Linked DNA regions of Saccharomyces cerevisiae S288C. Changing the gene in region 3 together with the main gene of any one other region gives a genetic interaction. Each region holds a gene or a part of one and is shown on either strand. Other genes may lie near its edges. The genes, in order: RNH202, NUP133, RAD51 and YAP1.

Region 1 (3,186 bases), on a different chromosome or scaffold from region 3:
TGAACATAATAGTGGGTCTAGCAGTTACTATACATTTAAATTGGCGACTACTATTATTCGTACATTCGACTATAGCAGTATTTCCAATTAATGGATCTTTAACTCAGCTATTATACTGTTTGAGTTCCTCGTTTAACATTTCCCTGTCCAACAGGGACTTAAAAGTATGTAGGGTTTGCATTAATATACAGTAGAGACACTTAAATTGTTACTATAGTAACTCAAGTTACTATTCGTGAGAATATTGACTTATTATTCTTCATGAATAGTCGATTAGTAATCAAATGAAGTAATCAGATGTGCAATGCGTCTTTAATGTTTCAGACTGGAGAATGATACGTAGCTACATAATAATCTGGGTACAGTAAACTCAATGATCTATTACCTGAATGATTAATCTGATGCTTGCAATATAACAATTCATCTCGTGACATTAACCATAAGAATTACTCTCATCATTGCTATATCGGCAAGGTTTAATATGTCCAGTCGGAGTGTATTTTATATCTCTTTCTTTTAGAATAAGAATATCTGCTTTTATTCTTAATCAATACTACAACCTAACTACTAACTATCAACACTGTTAATTACGATTCGCTCCAACAAATTTGGTTTTGTGGATTCTTAAATTCTCGAGAAAAACTTCTAATATATCTTGTATACCAGATACTGTAGCCTTTAGCAACGATAGAATACGAACAGTTCTCTTAAAATTCGCCTATTTCTCATACCGTTGCAGATATAACTAAAGTATTGACATTCAGTGACATCTGGCGCTGATATCATTATTTAACACACGTATGTTTGCGTGGCATTGTCATTTTTAAGAGCAGAGAAAGAAACAATGAGCTACTTGAGTGTGACAAGTTGAAAAGTCCACCAATTTCACGTTGAATTAGGATTCATATATGAAATTCTAGTCATTAATTAGAATTGTAAGTTTCTGAGCTTTTTTTTCCTAGTAAATTAAACTTGTCTAATACATCCAGTTGTGATGTATTCTATATCTCAGTTCTACAGTAGCACGAAGTTTCCCGGCCTCTCTATTCAATAAATTCAGCTATCGCTGATTATCAACAGCAGCAACGAATAAAGCATAAAAGAACAGAAAAATTCTTCTACAAATTTATTCTGTAAAGATTCAGCTTCTTTCGTGAATTTCTAAGTTCATGAGGGGAATTTAAGTATGGCGTTTCTTCGTAGCGCCATTGTCTTGAGCCAAAATGGAACTCTAAAAATTTTCACGACATTTTACTAGTCAGTAAAGTGAGCATATACATATAAGAAGAAATTTCAAAAGGTAAAAAATGGAGCAACTTCCAGCTCATTATCTTTTCAATGTTGTCGATGCCATAGTTGGATTATGAAATCTCATATTCATAACCACAACGCGTTTTTTTCCTTTTAAGGCACTACAGACTCCATTCTCACAAGTTTGTCAAAAGCACGAGCGCGATGAGAATTAAAGTCAGATCTGGTTAATGATTCTGGTACAACAGCAGAAACAAATCGAGTACAAATTTAATCTTATTCTGTCGCAATAGTTGACTTTCTTTTCTGGCCTCTCGAACAAAAAGCATGACCGTTTCCAACATTGGGGGGGAAGAACGACTAATAATTTTACCAGACGATTATGAAACTTCGAAAACTATAAACACTTTTACACTGCCGCCACCTTCCAATATTACATCCAAACCTCGTATCGAGCTCTTCGAAAATATTAATGGAAAACTTTACGAAATAAGATCTTTTCAATTCGGCAAAGGGCCCTCGTATTCACATGAGGAAGATTTGGCAAATGATAAATATCACTATACTAAGGAAAATCACCCGATCAAATCAACTTTCATTGTAAATACGTCTGATCCCACCGATGGTTATGTTTTTAACTCAAGCAAAATACACTTTTGTTCTTTATACGATATTGCTTTTAGTTTGATTGGATTTTACTATAGAAACAGTGTTTCAGCAGATGAACAAGATTACTCCAATTCAAGTGATACTGGTGAAAACCAAAAAAGCAACAGCAAAACCAATGAGAAATTTCTTACGGTGCGTGATTACCATGATTTCTTAACGGATAACCATGACAAGAATTGGGAAAACATTTCTTTAAGTCGTCTCAAGAGTGGCTTAGCAAAAGTTAGTGAAACCATTGAGGAAGCTGGTGACGTCTATTACAAGATCACATCTGCAATGATAACACAATTTTTGTTAGGCAAGGTATCAAAAATTGTAGAAAACTTTCCTCCAAGTATCCCTACACTTAAAAATGCCCCAACGGAAATAAAACAGTGCTACAAGGTAGTTATGGCTACAAATCTTTTAGTTTCCCTGATTCCAAGGGCGGCCTACCATAATTTACTTACCTTTTCACCTACAATGGATAGTGGTTGCCTAAATCCGGATATAAAAGCTAGCTTCATAGAACTCGAAAACTACGAGACTACGAACGAATTACAGAATGCTGAAAGAGAATTACTGATGAAAAGTGCCATGAATGTAGGCCTAAATTCGAATGGCAGGGTTTCATTGCCAGTGAAAAAAGTTACCAAAAAAATAGTTCAAAATAAAAAACCAAAAGTAGCCATAGGAAAAGGGGCCATTGATGGATTTTTTAAACGTAAGTAGCTAGTATCATAATTAAACAGCAATTTGAATGCTATAACTCGGTGGTGATGACCTCAGTGCGAGATAATTACACAATATTGTCACTACCAACGAATGGGCTACCTTTTTTTTCCTTTCTCGAATTCAAGAAAAAATTAACAACTTTTCCCTCGATGATGTTAACAAATGTCTGAATATAAAGGAATAGGAAACGGTTGCTAGATTGTATTTACCTTACCAACTTTCAAGTTTTTTTTCTAACTTCCTAACTTTCAGTCTCGATACATTAATCAACAGGACGTAGTGATTGCAAAATTGTTCAGAATATACATTAGATTAAAAGACAAATGGCCAAAGACATTGAGATATCCGCATCCGAGTCAAAATTTATCTTAGAAGCACTGAGACAGAATTATAGGTTGGACGGCCGCTCCTTTGATCAATTTCGTGACGTGGAAATAACGTTTGGTAAAGAATTTGGTGATGTTAGCGTAAAAATGGGCAACACCAAAGTTCACTGCAGGATTAGTTGTCAAATAGCACAACCATACGAAGACAGGCCATTTGAAGGATTAT
Region 2 (5,852 bases), on a different chromosome or scaffold from region 3:
TATTGAATAGGTTTGAAAAACTCATAATTCAGACAGTTATTATGGATTCAATAGATGAACAAATTGCTATAAAGCGAAAAGAACTTCAGTCATTACAAAAGATAACCAGTTTAACGGATGGCTTAAAAATTCAGCTAACAGAGTTGAATGAGCAGATCAAAGAAATGGGAATGAATGCGGATTCAGTGGCCCAATTGATGAACAATTGGGATTCTATAATAAACAATATATCGCAAGCAAGTTTGGGATTATTGCAATATGCAGAGGGTGATTATGAGATAGGACCGTGGAAAGATTCTAAGAAAAAGGAATCTGAACAATCAAATGAAACAGGTCTTGAAGCGCAAGAAAATGATAAGAATGATGAAGATAATGATGAGGATGAAGATCTGGTACCCTTGCCGGAAACAATGGTCAGAATTAGGGTAGATGGTAACGAATGAACAGAAAGAAAAGGATCTTATATAAATCGGAAGAAGGCAGTTGCGATAATAGCATATACATATTTATTATTATCATTCCCCAGTAAAGTTTATTATATATATGTAAAATTGTATTATAGATATTAGTATTCTACAGTGTTGGTTTCATAGTTGATGGTATAGTTTTTTTCTTTCGCTACAGAACCAATAGTCGAGTGCAACTTTATCTCGAGTGAGTTGTCTGAGTTCAACGTTTCCACTTGAGATATTTCTTCATATATCTCTTCACGTATGGCATTCTGATCAATAGGAAACCTGCCATATGTTTCGCTTATGTATTCTGGCGTCAGTAACGATTTGTCACATAAAAGATCCACACTGGGCAAGGGGAAATCATTATTTTTGGGTAGTTCTTCATCAAAAACACGTTTGACTATATGCTGAAGCAGTTTATCTCCTTCATTACTAGCATTTAGTAGAACGATTCTTCTCCATACCAAAGCATTCAAGAACTTTTTAACTTCAAAATTCAGTAAGTTTCCATCAACAGAAAGAAGCCTTAGCGGTATGAATAAGCTCTCTTCATCGTCGAGCATAGAATACAACTCAACGAGATCCGATAGATTGACTACTGTTGTTGATTTAAGCTCTTCCACTAATATGTTGAAAACTTCCCTGATAGAGCCATTCTTGAAGCGTTTACATATCTGAACTTCGCCCTTTTTCAATTTGTTTGAAATATTTTTCTCAGCATCAATTGTATCTAAATTATATTGGATCTTTCTCAAAGTATTAATGTCCAAATTATCCTTTTCAACTAGCAACGAGCTTAATTTTGCAACATTCAAGTGCAATTCACATTCGCTCAAGCTTTCGCCCTTCTTTGAATCATCAACAGTAATGTTTTTTAAAGTATTCATGGCATCTGCGTACGACCCATCCAGAATCTGTTGGATCCATGCTACATGACCGTACTTTGGAGCGGACTCTTGGAAAAACTGTATTAAAACATCGTGTTGTTGTGGGAACCTGAAGATGAGGTCGTTCAATTTTTTATGCTTGATTAAATATTCAAATAATGTAAAGCTAAACTCTTTAGGGAATTCGTTGAAGAATGTTTCGTATAGCGATACGGTTGTTGAGTCATTTTGATCTAAAGTTTGTAATGTTTGCACCAATCCAGATAAATCTTTGTAAAATTCTGCTATTTGAATACACTGTTCTTTTAGATTTACCTTACAAAGGACGTGGTTCCAATCCAGGTGGTTATCATCATAAAGATTGTTGATATTTATAAAATTATCATTGGCGTTCACAGATTTAACGGGTTGCGTGTTGATCCATATTTTAAATTGGTTGAACTGATAATATAAAATTTTCACAATCTTTAACAAGCCCTCTTTATAAGAATCCAGACTTCCTTCCTCCTCACACGCAAATGTAAAATCAAAAAAACATTGATTGATACAGTTTAAGTAATCAAAGTTTATGAACCATGGTAGCTTGGATGTATCAACCTCCATCGGGTCTAACTCCAAAAGTTCATACCTTATAGTTTTTTCACCTTCTTCAAGAATTCCATCATAAAAGCATAAGTTGATTAAATTGGTAACATTTAGTTTGAAATTTTGATTTTGTGATGGGAACAAAACAAACACAACATGGTTTAAAAATTGTTTAAAGATTACTGGAAATACGTCGGGACTGTTGATTACAACTGTTTTAGTAGTTAAGTGTTCATTTTGTGTCAGATTATAGTTTGATAAAGTCTTCTCCCATATATCGTTCAATACATCAGATTGTCTGATGATACTATTGAACTTAATACAGCAATTCAAGATCTCAAATTTTTCGATCAGATCCAATTTCAGTTCGGGTGATATTTTATAGTTGAAGTTCTTAGCAACAAATGTCAGGAAATTTTGAAAAAATTCTTTACGGACAGAGAGATGTTGCCCCAACGTATTTAGCATAGGGGGTATGTACTTGCCGTTGGAATGAAAAATCTCCTCGCTGGTTAATTTTAAATCATGCTCTATAGATTCTTGATCTAGTGAAATTTCTGGAGGTAAATTGAAATCTATGGGATTTGCATTTATTTTGGAGAAATAAACAGCTTGATCAACATGAGATTTGACAAACCCAACTTCCGGTTTAGAATTTGTTTCCTCATTCTCTTTCACAAAAAACTGTAGCACCCCCATTTGTTTCGTTAAAACATACAAAGATTTTGAGTCGTAACCAGAACCAATTATATCAATGTCATTTCTAAGGCTAACAATATCTTCCCACTTTCTTCTCATTGAATAGCTAGAGTCCAATTTTGAGTTCACCTGAGTAATGACAACAGCATTGGGGAACATTACCAAAATGGAAGTTACCTCATTGGTATCGTTAGCATTCTCCATCTGAGGTATAAATATCTTAGGCTTAAACTTTGTGTCGGTTATTGACTCCATAAAAGTGTTCAATCTATAAGTGGAAAAAATAGTAAAACTATTAGAAGAAGAATCGAAGATAATCGTGGAAAGAATATAATATGTTTCATTGCATGAACTGTCGTAAATAGATGACAGGAAAAGTTGTGAACTTTCATCTTGTAATGGATGAGAGTCCCAAATCTTCAACGTACCATGAGCAAATGGATACAAATCCTGGAGCGACTCTAAAATGGCTTCGTAAATGTTTACATCAATCAATTTTGTTGGATGGGAATTCGTGGCAGACAACTGCCATGTTTGAAAAATTCCTTTGTTAGTAGTAATATATACTAACCTTGTCCCCTTACCGAGGATAGGTCCATTTCGTAATGAGACAACTGAACTGTTTGTATTGAAAATTTTGGACCAGATACCCAATTTGAAAGGTTTATTTAATAGTTTGCCTAACTTCAGTTGAGGTTTACCCATGGAATTTCTAATGGTTATAAAAAATATTCTGCCCATATTTGTAGAAAGCACTATACCAGCAGGTTCGCAGTTTAACATTAGGTCACACTTCTCTCCGCCCGAAGAGTTGATGGGTAATTCTAACTCGTGAGAGAATTTTTCAGATAACTTAAAGTTCAAATTATTTATGGAGTTGATATCCTCATAATATATCGCTTTGCTACCTTTGATAATGATAAGCCCTCCGGTTTCGTCCTGATCATTAGGATTCAGTGCTAATGGAGACTCATCCATTGTAGCAGGGAAAGTTAGTATGCACCTGGGCGCGACTGCTATTTCATCATTATCATCAGAACGAAATGGTACAGTTATATAGGGCGTATCCTTTTGAGTGGAGTGAATATTCCAGATGTAAACCTTCTTGTGGTCATTGACTAGTCCATATCCAATTTGCATATCGATATATCCATTCAATTCGTCATCGTTACTGAATCCGCTACTGTAGTCTGTTTGAAGGGTTTTTACTATGTATCTGTTATTTTCTGTGAAAACCTTGGAATTATCAAAGTGCGAATGTAACCTTAACTGTTGCTGCTCCATGGAAATGTCCATTAGAGAGGCCTGGCTTTCCTCTTCATAAGACAACTGCGCCAGGGATTCGTTTTCAACCACCGCAATGGGTACGCTAAGTTCCTTCCGCAAACGAAGATGTACTTTTTTTTCACTCATATGGCTATCCTAATGTACTTCACTTGAATTGGATGTAACAGTATGCTCGAGCTCCTCTAAACCTTATTCCTAAATGGTGTATGTTTTGGTTTATTCTGCTATTTTGATTCCTAAATCCTCAAATATATCGTTTTATACGATTTGAAAATTTTTCATTTTTTTGCGATGAGCTAAGGATCGAATTTTCTTATAGTGTAATGCATTATTGGAAAGTGATTTGGTATATCGATGAGTTGTATTGAAGTTATCATATCCAAAAGCGCAGGAGAACACTGGCAGAAAAAATGATTAGAACCGTAAAACCCAAGAATGCAAGAGCCAAGAGAGCTTTGGTAAAGAGGGAAGCTAAGTTGGTAGAGAATGTCAAGCAAGCGCTATTCATTCCAGGGCAAAGCTGTAACAAGAATCTGCACGATATTATGGTAGATTTGAGTGCCTTGAAGAAGCCAGATATGAAGAGGTTCAATCGTAAGAATGATATTCATCCTTTCGAAGACATGTCGCCACTAGAGTTCTTTAGTGAAAAGAATGACTGTTCATTGATGGTGCTGATGACAAGTTCCAAAAAGCGTAAAAACAACATGACCTTTATACGTACATTTGGCTACAAAATATATGATATGATTGAACTAATGGTTGCAGATAATTTCAAGTTGTTATCTGATTTTAAGAAATTAACATTTACTGTAGGGTTGAAGCCTATGTTTACATTCCAAGGTGCTGCATTTGATACACATCCCGTATACAAGCAAATTAAATCTTTGTTTTTAGATTTCTTTAGAGGCGAATCTACTGATTTACAGGATGTTGCGGGATTACAACATGTCATTTCCATGACCATTCAAGGTGACTTCCAAGATGGTGAGCCATTGCCGAACGTTCTATTCCGTGTTTACAAATTAAAAAGTTATAAAAGCGACCAAGGTGGTAAGAGATTACCACGTATTGAATTGGTGGAGATTGGGCCACGTCTAGATTTCAAAATCGGCAGAATTCATACTCCAAGTCCAGATATGGTCACTGAAGCTCACAAGAAGCCAAAACAATTAGAAATGAAGACAAAGAAGAATGTAGAATTAGATATCATGGGTGATAAATTGGGTAGAATCCATATGGGCAAACAAGATTTGGGTAAACTACAAACAAGAAAGATGAAGGGTTTGAAATCCAAATTCGACCAAGGAACTGAAGAAGGTGATGGAGAGGTAGATGAAGACTACGAAGATGAAGCGTCGTATTCGGATGATGGACAAGAATACGAAGAAGAGTTCGTCAGTGCCACTGATATTGAGCCCTCTGCTAAAAGACAGAAGAAATAAGACCCATAAACTTTGTATATTATATGATAATCTAAGAGAGGAGAATTCTATATGTATGTAGTAAGTACATTACAAATGATCTTTCTTTTTTTCCCTTATTTTTATGTATTCTGTTTTACCTATGCTTATTTGAACAGCCACAAATGTTCTATTTTTCTTTAGACAGTTCTACGTTCCTTACTAAACGTAACATGTTTCTCAACAACATTGCAATGGTAACTTTACCAGTCATTGGAACGTAAAGAGAAGCTTTTTCCTTGACATCATCGCTAAAATTTTTGGTGCATGCAAAATTGATGCAGACGGCACCTTCTTTGATGTATTCGGTGGGGAATTTGTAATTTTCACTAGGGACACCAGTGATGACCACATCTGAATCAAGAGAACACTTTTTCAACAGATCTTCAGAGTACTCCCCAAGGTCTTCCACATGATGCTTGTTTAATTTCAAACTTTCACCACGGGTGAATTTTTGAATGTTGTTAACGTCCACA
Region 3 (3,624 bases):
ACTGCCTGATTTTAACAAAGGGATACTCGTAATGTCAACCGTACTTCTCTTGCTGTTAGCAAAAGTATTGTTCTATTCTTTTTTCCAAGTACAATTTTTTATTCAATTTAAAAACGTCGAAACGAAGACAAGGAAATTCATTGCCATAAAGAAGTGTATGGTATTTTACGTTGGTTTTATAAGAGGATGGCGACATATCAGAAAATTTTTCTCTTCACTCCCCTAAAAGGATAAAGCCGCGCGGACCCTGCAGGAGGAAGTAGTCATCGGGAAGAAGAGTAGAAAAATACATATATTTCATGGGTGACAGACAATACGAAAGTTATTTAAAAGAACTGAAAAAAAAGGTTAAGACCGCAGTAGGGTTGCGAGGTATATGACAAAATATATGCAAAAATCTAAGACAGTGGATGGAAATGAAGATAAAAATGTACGGAACGCAACCTAAGAAAAAGAGGAGAATTGAAAGTAAACCTGTGTAAATAAATAGAGACAAGAGACCAAATACCTACTCGTCTTCTTCTCTGGGGTCACCAACACCATCTTCATAGATCGCGAACACACATTCAGCCTCTGGTAAGCAAGGTGAGTCAACAACTTTGCATAATCTTTGACATCCCTTACCCTTTTTGAAACCTAATCGCGTGGTGGAAGAATGTGCCATAATATTACCACCGATAGGCTTCTTTGGATCTGGATTAAAAGCCATACCACCATCAACTTGGGCGACCACTTGGTTAGTAACGACGACTGCAACACCAAATTGGTCGGCCAGCCTTTGCAAAGCACGCATAAATTTGGCTAAATGCATTTGCCTTGCGCTTAGTTCACCACGACCAGAAAAATCCGTACGGTATAGAGCCATAACAGAATCGACCACAATCAAGGAAAACCGAGACTCGCTCATCATTTGGGCAGCAGCATCCAGAAGTCTTAACTGATGATCGGCGTTATAGGCTCTTGCATACGCAACGTTGTTCAAAGCATCATCCGGGTCTAATCCGAACCGCTGAGCTATGGATACCAATCTTACCGGCCTGAAAGTACCTTCGGTATCGATATACAAACACTTACCTTCACCGCCACCAATATCCAATGGAATTTGGCATGTCACGGCCAAAGTGTGACATAGCTGGGACTTACCTGTCCTGAATTCACCGAAAAGCTCAGTAATAGAACCAGTTTCCACACCACCACCCAAAAGAGTGTCCAAATTCTTAGAACCCGTTGTCAAACAAATCAGCTCCGATCTTCTCATATGAAAATCAGCAGCCGTGACAAATCCCATAGGCACTAGCCTTGCCGCTTCGTTTAGCAACTTATCTGCCTTAGCTTCCGATATACCTTTGATTTCCAATAAATCCTTTCTGGGAGCATATGCTACCGCTTCAGCAGTGTGAAGCCCACTCTCCCTTAGTTTTTTCACATCCGCCATAGTAATCCCGTTCACTTGCAGTTTTTCTATTGGCACAAACGAACCTAAGGCAGCTTCATCGTATGCTTCATCCTCCATTTCACCTTGCGCTTCCGCTTGCTCCTGCAATCCGCCACCATCGCCGGAGCCGTTGGTGGCCTCAATATCTTCGCTGCTACCGTTGCCGTTTCCATCAACGACTGACTGTGAAAGGTCTGCTGGTACAGTGGACATCAACGAACCGTTCCCGTACTGAAGCTGTGACTCTGATATATGTTGTTCTTGAACTTGAGACATATGACGATAACAAATTAGTAGGCCTTTAACAAATAACTACGTCTGCTCTTTGTCGCTACACTCAACTACTAGTATATGGAAACTACGGAAGATAGAAGAAGTAACTGAGAAAATTTTTTCTCCAGTCCCCACTATTCCCCTTTATGGTCCCACCACGCGTACTGTAAACAAACCAGGACAGAAATAGCGGAAATGACGCGTAGCATAGGGTAACGAAGTGTGGCCTAGTCGTGGGATATGGTGAGACGGTGATAAAACACTGATACAACCGGTTGGAATGCTCAGGGAATGCTCAAGAAGGCCACCTGTTGCAGGATAGCTAAACTAGATTGGTTGAAGAACGGTAGTGGTGCATTTCCAACATTTACCGTCCATTTTAATTTACTCTGTGACAATGATAAGCCAGATCGCTATTAACGTGGTGTAGTCATGTGACCGGATGGCACTGCCGGTGGCAAAAAAGTGCAAATGCAGGGGCGATGAAAAGAGAGGAAGAAAGAGTTTATGGCATAGTAGAAAGGCCAATTAAATCGGGAAGCTGCTAAGTAAGTTTGAACCGTAGTTTCGAAGTAGAGTGCGTTTCTTGCGAATTGTGGTGAAAATATTGAACAGTGAATAAAGCATAAAAAAAAAATGTCGGATCCAAGTTCTATTAACGGTGGTATCGTCGTTGCGATGACAGGTAAAGACTGTGTGGCCATTGCCTGTGATTTGCGTCTCGGAAGCCAGTCACTAGGTGTGTCGAACAAGTTTGAAAAAATCTTCCACTATGGGCATGTGTTCTTAGGGATTACCGGTCTGGCTACCGACGTGACTACTCTGAACGAGATGTTCCGCTACAAGACGAACCTATATAAGTTGAAGGAAGAAAGGGCCATTGAGCCTGAAACGTTTACCCAATTAGTGTCAAGTTCACTTTATGAAAGAAGATTCGGTCCATACTTTGTGGGGCCGGTGGTAGCAGGTATTAATTCCAAGTCCGGGAAGCCCTTTATTGCGGGATTCGACCTAATCGGCTGTATCGACGAGGCCAAGGATTTTATCGTTAGCGGTACTGCATCCGACCAACTGTTCGGTATGTGTGAGTCCCTGTACGAACCTAATCTAGAGCCAGAAGATCTTTTCGAAACTATAAGTCAGGCCCTACTGAATGCTGCTGACCGTGACGCTCTATCAGGCTGGGGAGCTGTAGTATACATCATCAAGAAGGATGAAGTGGTGAAGAGATACTTGAAGATGAGACAAGATTGATCGGTTCATGGCAATCTCATGGTCCCAAAAACAACCCCAACACAAAATATCAGCGGAACGTCAAGAATTTTCCACATCCAACTCATCTTTAATTTTTAAGTAAACAGAATAGATCGAATGAATATATAAATACTAAAATGCATAAAGTCAGTCGAAGATCTGAGTAGCTATCCGCTGGCTGTCCTTTTCTAAGGAGCAGCGTTATTCACCAGCCGCGAGTCTCTTGAAAAATTGGCGCTTTTAATACTTATTAGGATGGGGAACTTGATTCTTTGACGGGTTTGTCAGCAATTAGTACGACTATCCTACTTCATCAAGAAACGAAACTATGATCGAAGAGAAGAAGGAACTTAAGAAACGCAGGGTTCTTCAAATGGCCAGATTTTATGGTGCGGCCGCCTTCACCCTGATTACCATGAGGCTTATCTCCAGGGCCATAAAAGTACGAAAATGTATGTATTTTGTCCTAGTTCAGTGGCCAAAACTAATAATAGGATATAGTTACTAACACCGTCTACTGAAAGCAGACGTCCCCAGCATATTTCAACAAAATTACAAGCTTCCACCTTTTTCCCAAAGGAATGAAGCCATGTCAGCGTTAACGTATGCATCCGCCGCTTCAATAGGTACGTTCAGCACATTGATATTCGGCTTTTGTTGGG
Region 4 (4,176 bases), on a different chromosome or scaffold from region 3:
TTCTCACAAACCTAATTCCAAGGGTAACAATGAAAGTAATTCCAAAAATGAGTTGAAAAAGATAAAGAGTTCCATCAATGCTATGAGTGCCGTGGAAAGGTCCAAAAGTTTGCCTTTACCTACATTACTAAAGTCTTTAAGCGGCATAGATAACCCTACTCATGCCACTAACAAGGATAGAAAGCGTTGGAAATTCCAGATGAATAGGTTTAAGAATCATAAAAACAGTGGTTCTGCAGGTACGGATAAATCTCAGCGTTGTGCCATCATGTAAAGAATACTTTACCACTATATATAGATATATATATATACTTGTATTATAATTATAATCATTATTGGTACTATTGCACTTACCAGTTTCTATATTGACATTGAAGGTGATACAGAGAATTCATACATAGTCTAAATATATTTAAAGTATAGGTTGTGTACATAAAAAAATACCGAGGTGATACAATCTACCTACTTTCGGCGAAAAGGCGAAGCAAGGTAAGTTAAAAAAGTTTAATTGTAACATTATAGAAAAAGTTCTTTCGGTTACCCAGTTTTCCATAAAGTTCCCGCTTTAGTTCATATGCTTATTCAAAGCTAATTGAACGTCTTCTGCATTGATGACAACCCCTCTTTCTGAACATTTTGCCTTTGCCATTAGCTCGGAACATAAACCATCGACATCAATATCTGAGTATTTCGGATGTGTTGTTATTCTATCCCAAATTTCCGAACACCTTAGTAAAGAGCCTTCCTTAGATGGAACGACATCATTATCATTATCGTTATCATTGCCATTATTGATTTTGTCAGCATTCTGTAAACTACTGCCATTTTTTTGTGAGATTTCGCTTTCATTTCCTGGTACCGATTGTAGATATTGTTTCGGAAGCTCTGGTTCTTCGTTAATTAACTGGTTCTTGATTAAACTTGACTCATCGTCTGACATATTAGCGGCTTTTTTGTCATCATCGTCATCCTCTAAAAACTCTCCAAATAAATTGTTACCTTCCTTCGATGAATCTCTAAAAAACATGTCGTAGTCAAACTTATTTTGAGATTGAGATTCAGAGAAAGGTTGTAATTGAATATTAGTTGAATTGTCGTCTGGGAAAGCCAGATTTGCGTTGATAAAAGGTATATCCTCTTTGCTGCTTTGCAGTAGGCTGGGATTGGTGTTAGAGGCAGCATTATTGCCGATGCCGGTAGATCCCGGACTAAAAAAATTAGTAACTTGGTTCATATCAAACGGTGACTCGGATATGAATGGGAGTACATCATCGCTATTATTATTGTTCTTTTTGTTCTTATTGCCAGTGCTACCAGTGCTATCAGTGCTACCAGTGCTATTATCATTCACGACGTAATGATTGGCACTCATATCGAAACCAAGTCGGCCAAAACCGGAGAAGGAATTTTCATATTTAGTAGCATCAGTAGCAATGACATTAGCAGGAGTATTATCTGTAATATTAGAATGTGATTCCCAAGTATTTGTTAAAGCAGGAGAATTTGAACTTAGTATAGAAGATGACGCGAAAACTTCTTTATCAAGAGCCGAGATGGGTTTCTTGGGAATGGGACATTGCCTTGTTCCACATACCTGGTTCATTTTCGAACAAAACTCCGAAACTTGTTCATCAAATTGGTTTTCAAAATTAAAGTCATTAGAAAACATATTACTGTCTAAATTCTTAGTTTTACTATTGCTGCCATCATCACCTGACACAAACCTGTTAGTATATATTACATTATCTAACCAATCCATCGAAGTGGAGGAGTTTGGTGTGTTATTAAGAACATCGTTACTATTTGAAAGGGAATCCAAAGTAGCGCTGGAGGAATCTGTAGCGTCACTTAATTTCTTTTGTGTCTGATTTATAGGCATAGGAGCCGAATGACTTGGATCATTTGGTGAAGGTAATTGTTTCCCCACATTTTTACTGTTGTCGTTGTCGTTGTCGTTATCAAGCGGATATTGAAACGTGAAATTCATCTTTTGTTTAACATTTTCTTGTATGTCATCATTGGGTGTGTCAATTGGCTCGCTATTGCTGTGGTTAACGTTATTTTTTGAAAAATGCAAATTAGGATCTCGCCTTGCTAAATATTCCAGCACTTTTGAGTCATTTCTTGTCTCTGGTCTATATTTTTTTAACTCATTCACCAGAGTGATTAACTGGTCCCTCAAAAAAGTAGCTTCCACTTCATTTTGCTGCTGAATACTCTCTAAACTTTGTACCTTCTTCTCCAATTCCTTCATCTTCCTCTCCTTACGTTCCCTAAAAGCTCTTTGAGCGGCCCGATTTTGGGCAGTCCTCTTCTGCTTAGTTTCAGGATCCAAATCTTGCTTTTTGCTAGTTTTGCTACCCTTCTTCTTCGGTTGCTCGCTATCCTCGCCATCACGTGTACCAGTACGTCTATGTTCATTTTCTATTTCATCGTGACGAGATTTTGAACCCTCAAACTCCGCTAATGAACCCGGAGAAACGACATCCAGCGACCTCTTGGCGGTAGACACACTCATGGTTTAAGAAACAACTTTTCCTTCTTTAAACGTTTTGGGTGGCAAAAAACTTCCCTTAAACAAACTAAAAATGGCTCGTGTTCATGCACAAGTCAACCAGGGGCTCAGGAAAAAAAGCTAAACACCAATCCTATATATAACGTAAAGGTACTGTGCTTAATCGGTAAACGGAAGACTATTAAGCAAATGTATCTCTTAAGACCTTACGCATCCATCAGTTGCCACCCTCCTACTCTTCATCGGAGGGTTTCCGGTTCCCATGACAAAGACGGCGCTTTGGCGGGGCCCAAATTGTTACCCGCACCCAGAAAAAGAAAAGAGTAACCTAGGTCAAATCAACCAAACAGCTAGGGCTGGTTACTATTTTTGAAAAGATGCAACAGGGTAAGATCAGCAAAATTTAGGGCCGAACAAAGCCCCGATCTTCGTATATGGTACCTCGTTCCCGTACTTATTTTCAATTTTTGGCGTCGTTTACTGCCGTTTCCGATAAATACAAAAAAGTTTTCGAGAAGCGAGAGTAAGTGAGGAGCAGACAATGTATTATTCACTGTAAACTGCTCCACTTCGTCTCAATGGTACACTTCATTTTTATCGCCTTACGAAGCATGCGTTTTATGCGAAGATTGGTGAGAAACCTCCAATACTTGCTGTTGCCGATAACTTCTTCATTGCTTTTTATATAGTTCGGGTGTTTTCTCCTATCCTCTGCTGCTCTCTTTTTCTTTCCATTCGTCTTTGTAATTTATAAGCTGTTAATTTTCATTCAAGTTTCCCTTATCTGTTTTACTTTCGATTTAAGTTTTACATAATTTAAAAAAACAAGAATAAAATAATAATATAGTAGGCAGCATAAGATGAGTGAAACAGAATTGAGAAAAAGACAGGCCCAATTCACTAGGGAGTTACATGGTGATGATATTGGTAAAAAGACAGGTTTGAGTGCATTGATGTCGAAGAACAACTCTGCCCAAAAGGAAGCCGTTCAGAAGTACTTGAGAAATTGGGATGGTAGAACCGATAAAGATGCCGAAGAACGTCGTCTTGAGGATTATAATGAAGCCACACATTCCTACTATAACGTCGTTACAGATTTCTATGAATATGGTTGGGGTTCCTCTTTCCATTTCAGCAGATTTTATAAAGGTGAGAGTTTCGCTGCCTCGATAGCAAGACATGAACATTATTTAGCTTACAAGGCTGGTATTCAAAGAGGCGATTTAGTTCTCGACGTTGGTTGTGGTGTTGGGGGCCCAGCAAGAGAGATTGCAAGATTTACCGGTTGTAACGTCATCGGTCTAAACAATAACGATTACCAAATTGCCAAGGCAAAATATTACGCTAAAAAATACAATTTGAGTGACCAAATGGACTTTGTAAAGGGTGATTTCATGAAAATGGATTTCGAAGAAAACACTTTCGACAAAGTTTATGCAATTGAGGCCACATGTCACGCTCCAAAATTAGAAGGTGTATACAGCGAAATCTACAAGGTTTTGAAACCGGGTGGTACCTTTGCTGTTTACGAATGGGTAATGACTGATAAATATGACGAAAACAATCCTGAACATAGAAAGATCGCTTATGAAATTGAACTAGGTGATGGTATCCCAAAGATGTTCCATGTCGACGTGGCTAGGAAAGCATTGAAGAACTGT

What was found.
Region 1: mutations in RAD51 (region 3) and RNH202 together harm fitness more than expected from each alone (negative genetic interaction), as found in Saccharomyces cerevisiae (6 studies listed by BioGRID, with this or other methods).
Region 2: mutations in RAD51 (region 3) and NUP133 together harm fitness more than expected from each alone (negative genetic interaction), as found in Saccharomyces cerevisiae (6 studies listed by BioGRID, with this or other methods).
Region 4: mutations in RAD51 (region 3) and YAP1 together harm fitness more than expected from each alone (negative genetic interaction), as found in Saccharomyces cerevisiae (7 studies listed by BioGRID, with this or other methods).

The regions. Positions count from the first base shown.
Region 1 is NC_001136.10:1,017,790-1,020,975, forward strand, and holds RNH202 (Rnh202p), read left to right. Parts: upstream 1-1,578; coding exon 1,579-2,631; downstream 2,632-3,186. Other genes in the region: exosome non-catalytic core subunit RRP45, read left to right, coding at 2,958-3,186. UniProt on the Saccharomyces cerevisiae protein: Non catalytic subunit of RNase H2, an endonuclease that specifically degrades the RNA of RNA:DNA hybrids. Participates in DNA replication, possibly by mediating the removal of lagging-strand Okazaki fragment RNA primers during DNA replication.
Region 2 is NC_001143.9:591,012-596,863, reverse strand, and holds NUP133 (Nup133p), read right to left. Parts: upstream 4,040-5,852; coding exon 566-4,039; downstream 1-565. Other genes in the region: DAD2 (Dad2p), read left to right, coding at 42-443; rRNA-binding ribosome biosynthesis protein RPF2, read left to right, coding at 4,324-5,358; MTD1 (methylenetetrahydrofolate dehydrogenase (NAD(+))), read right to left, coding at 5,507-5,852. UniProt on the Saccharomyces cerevisiae protein: Functions as a component of the nuclear pore complex (NPC).
Region 3 is NC_001137.3:348,067-351,690, reverse strand, and holds RAD51 (recombinase RAD51), read right to left. Parts: upstream 1,712-3,624; coding exon 509-1,711; downstream 1-508. Other genes in the region: PUP3 (proteasome core particle subunit beta 3), read left to right, coding at 2,345-2,962; AIM11 (Aim11p), read left to right, coding at 3,291-3,414, 3,490-3,624. UniProt on the Saccharomyces cerevisiae protein: Required both for recombination and for the repair of DNA damage caused by X-rays. Its function may be modulated by interaction with other repair proteins. RAD52 interacts directly with RAD51, via its C-terminus.
Region 4 is NC_001145.3:252,190-256,365, reverse strand, and holds YAP1 (DNA-binding transcription factor YAP1), read right to left. Parts: upstream 2,519-4,176; coding exon 566-2,518; downstream 1-565. Other genes in the region: GIS4 (Gis4p), read left to right, coding at 1-274; MIN4 (Min4p), read left to right, coding at 3,094-3,204; ERG6 (sterol 24-C-methyltransferase), read left to right, coding at 3,376-4,176. UniProt on the Saccharomyces cerevisiae protein: Transcription activator involved in oxidative stress response and redox homeostasis.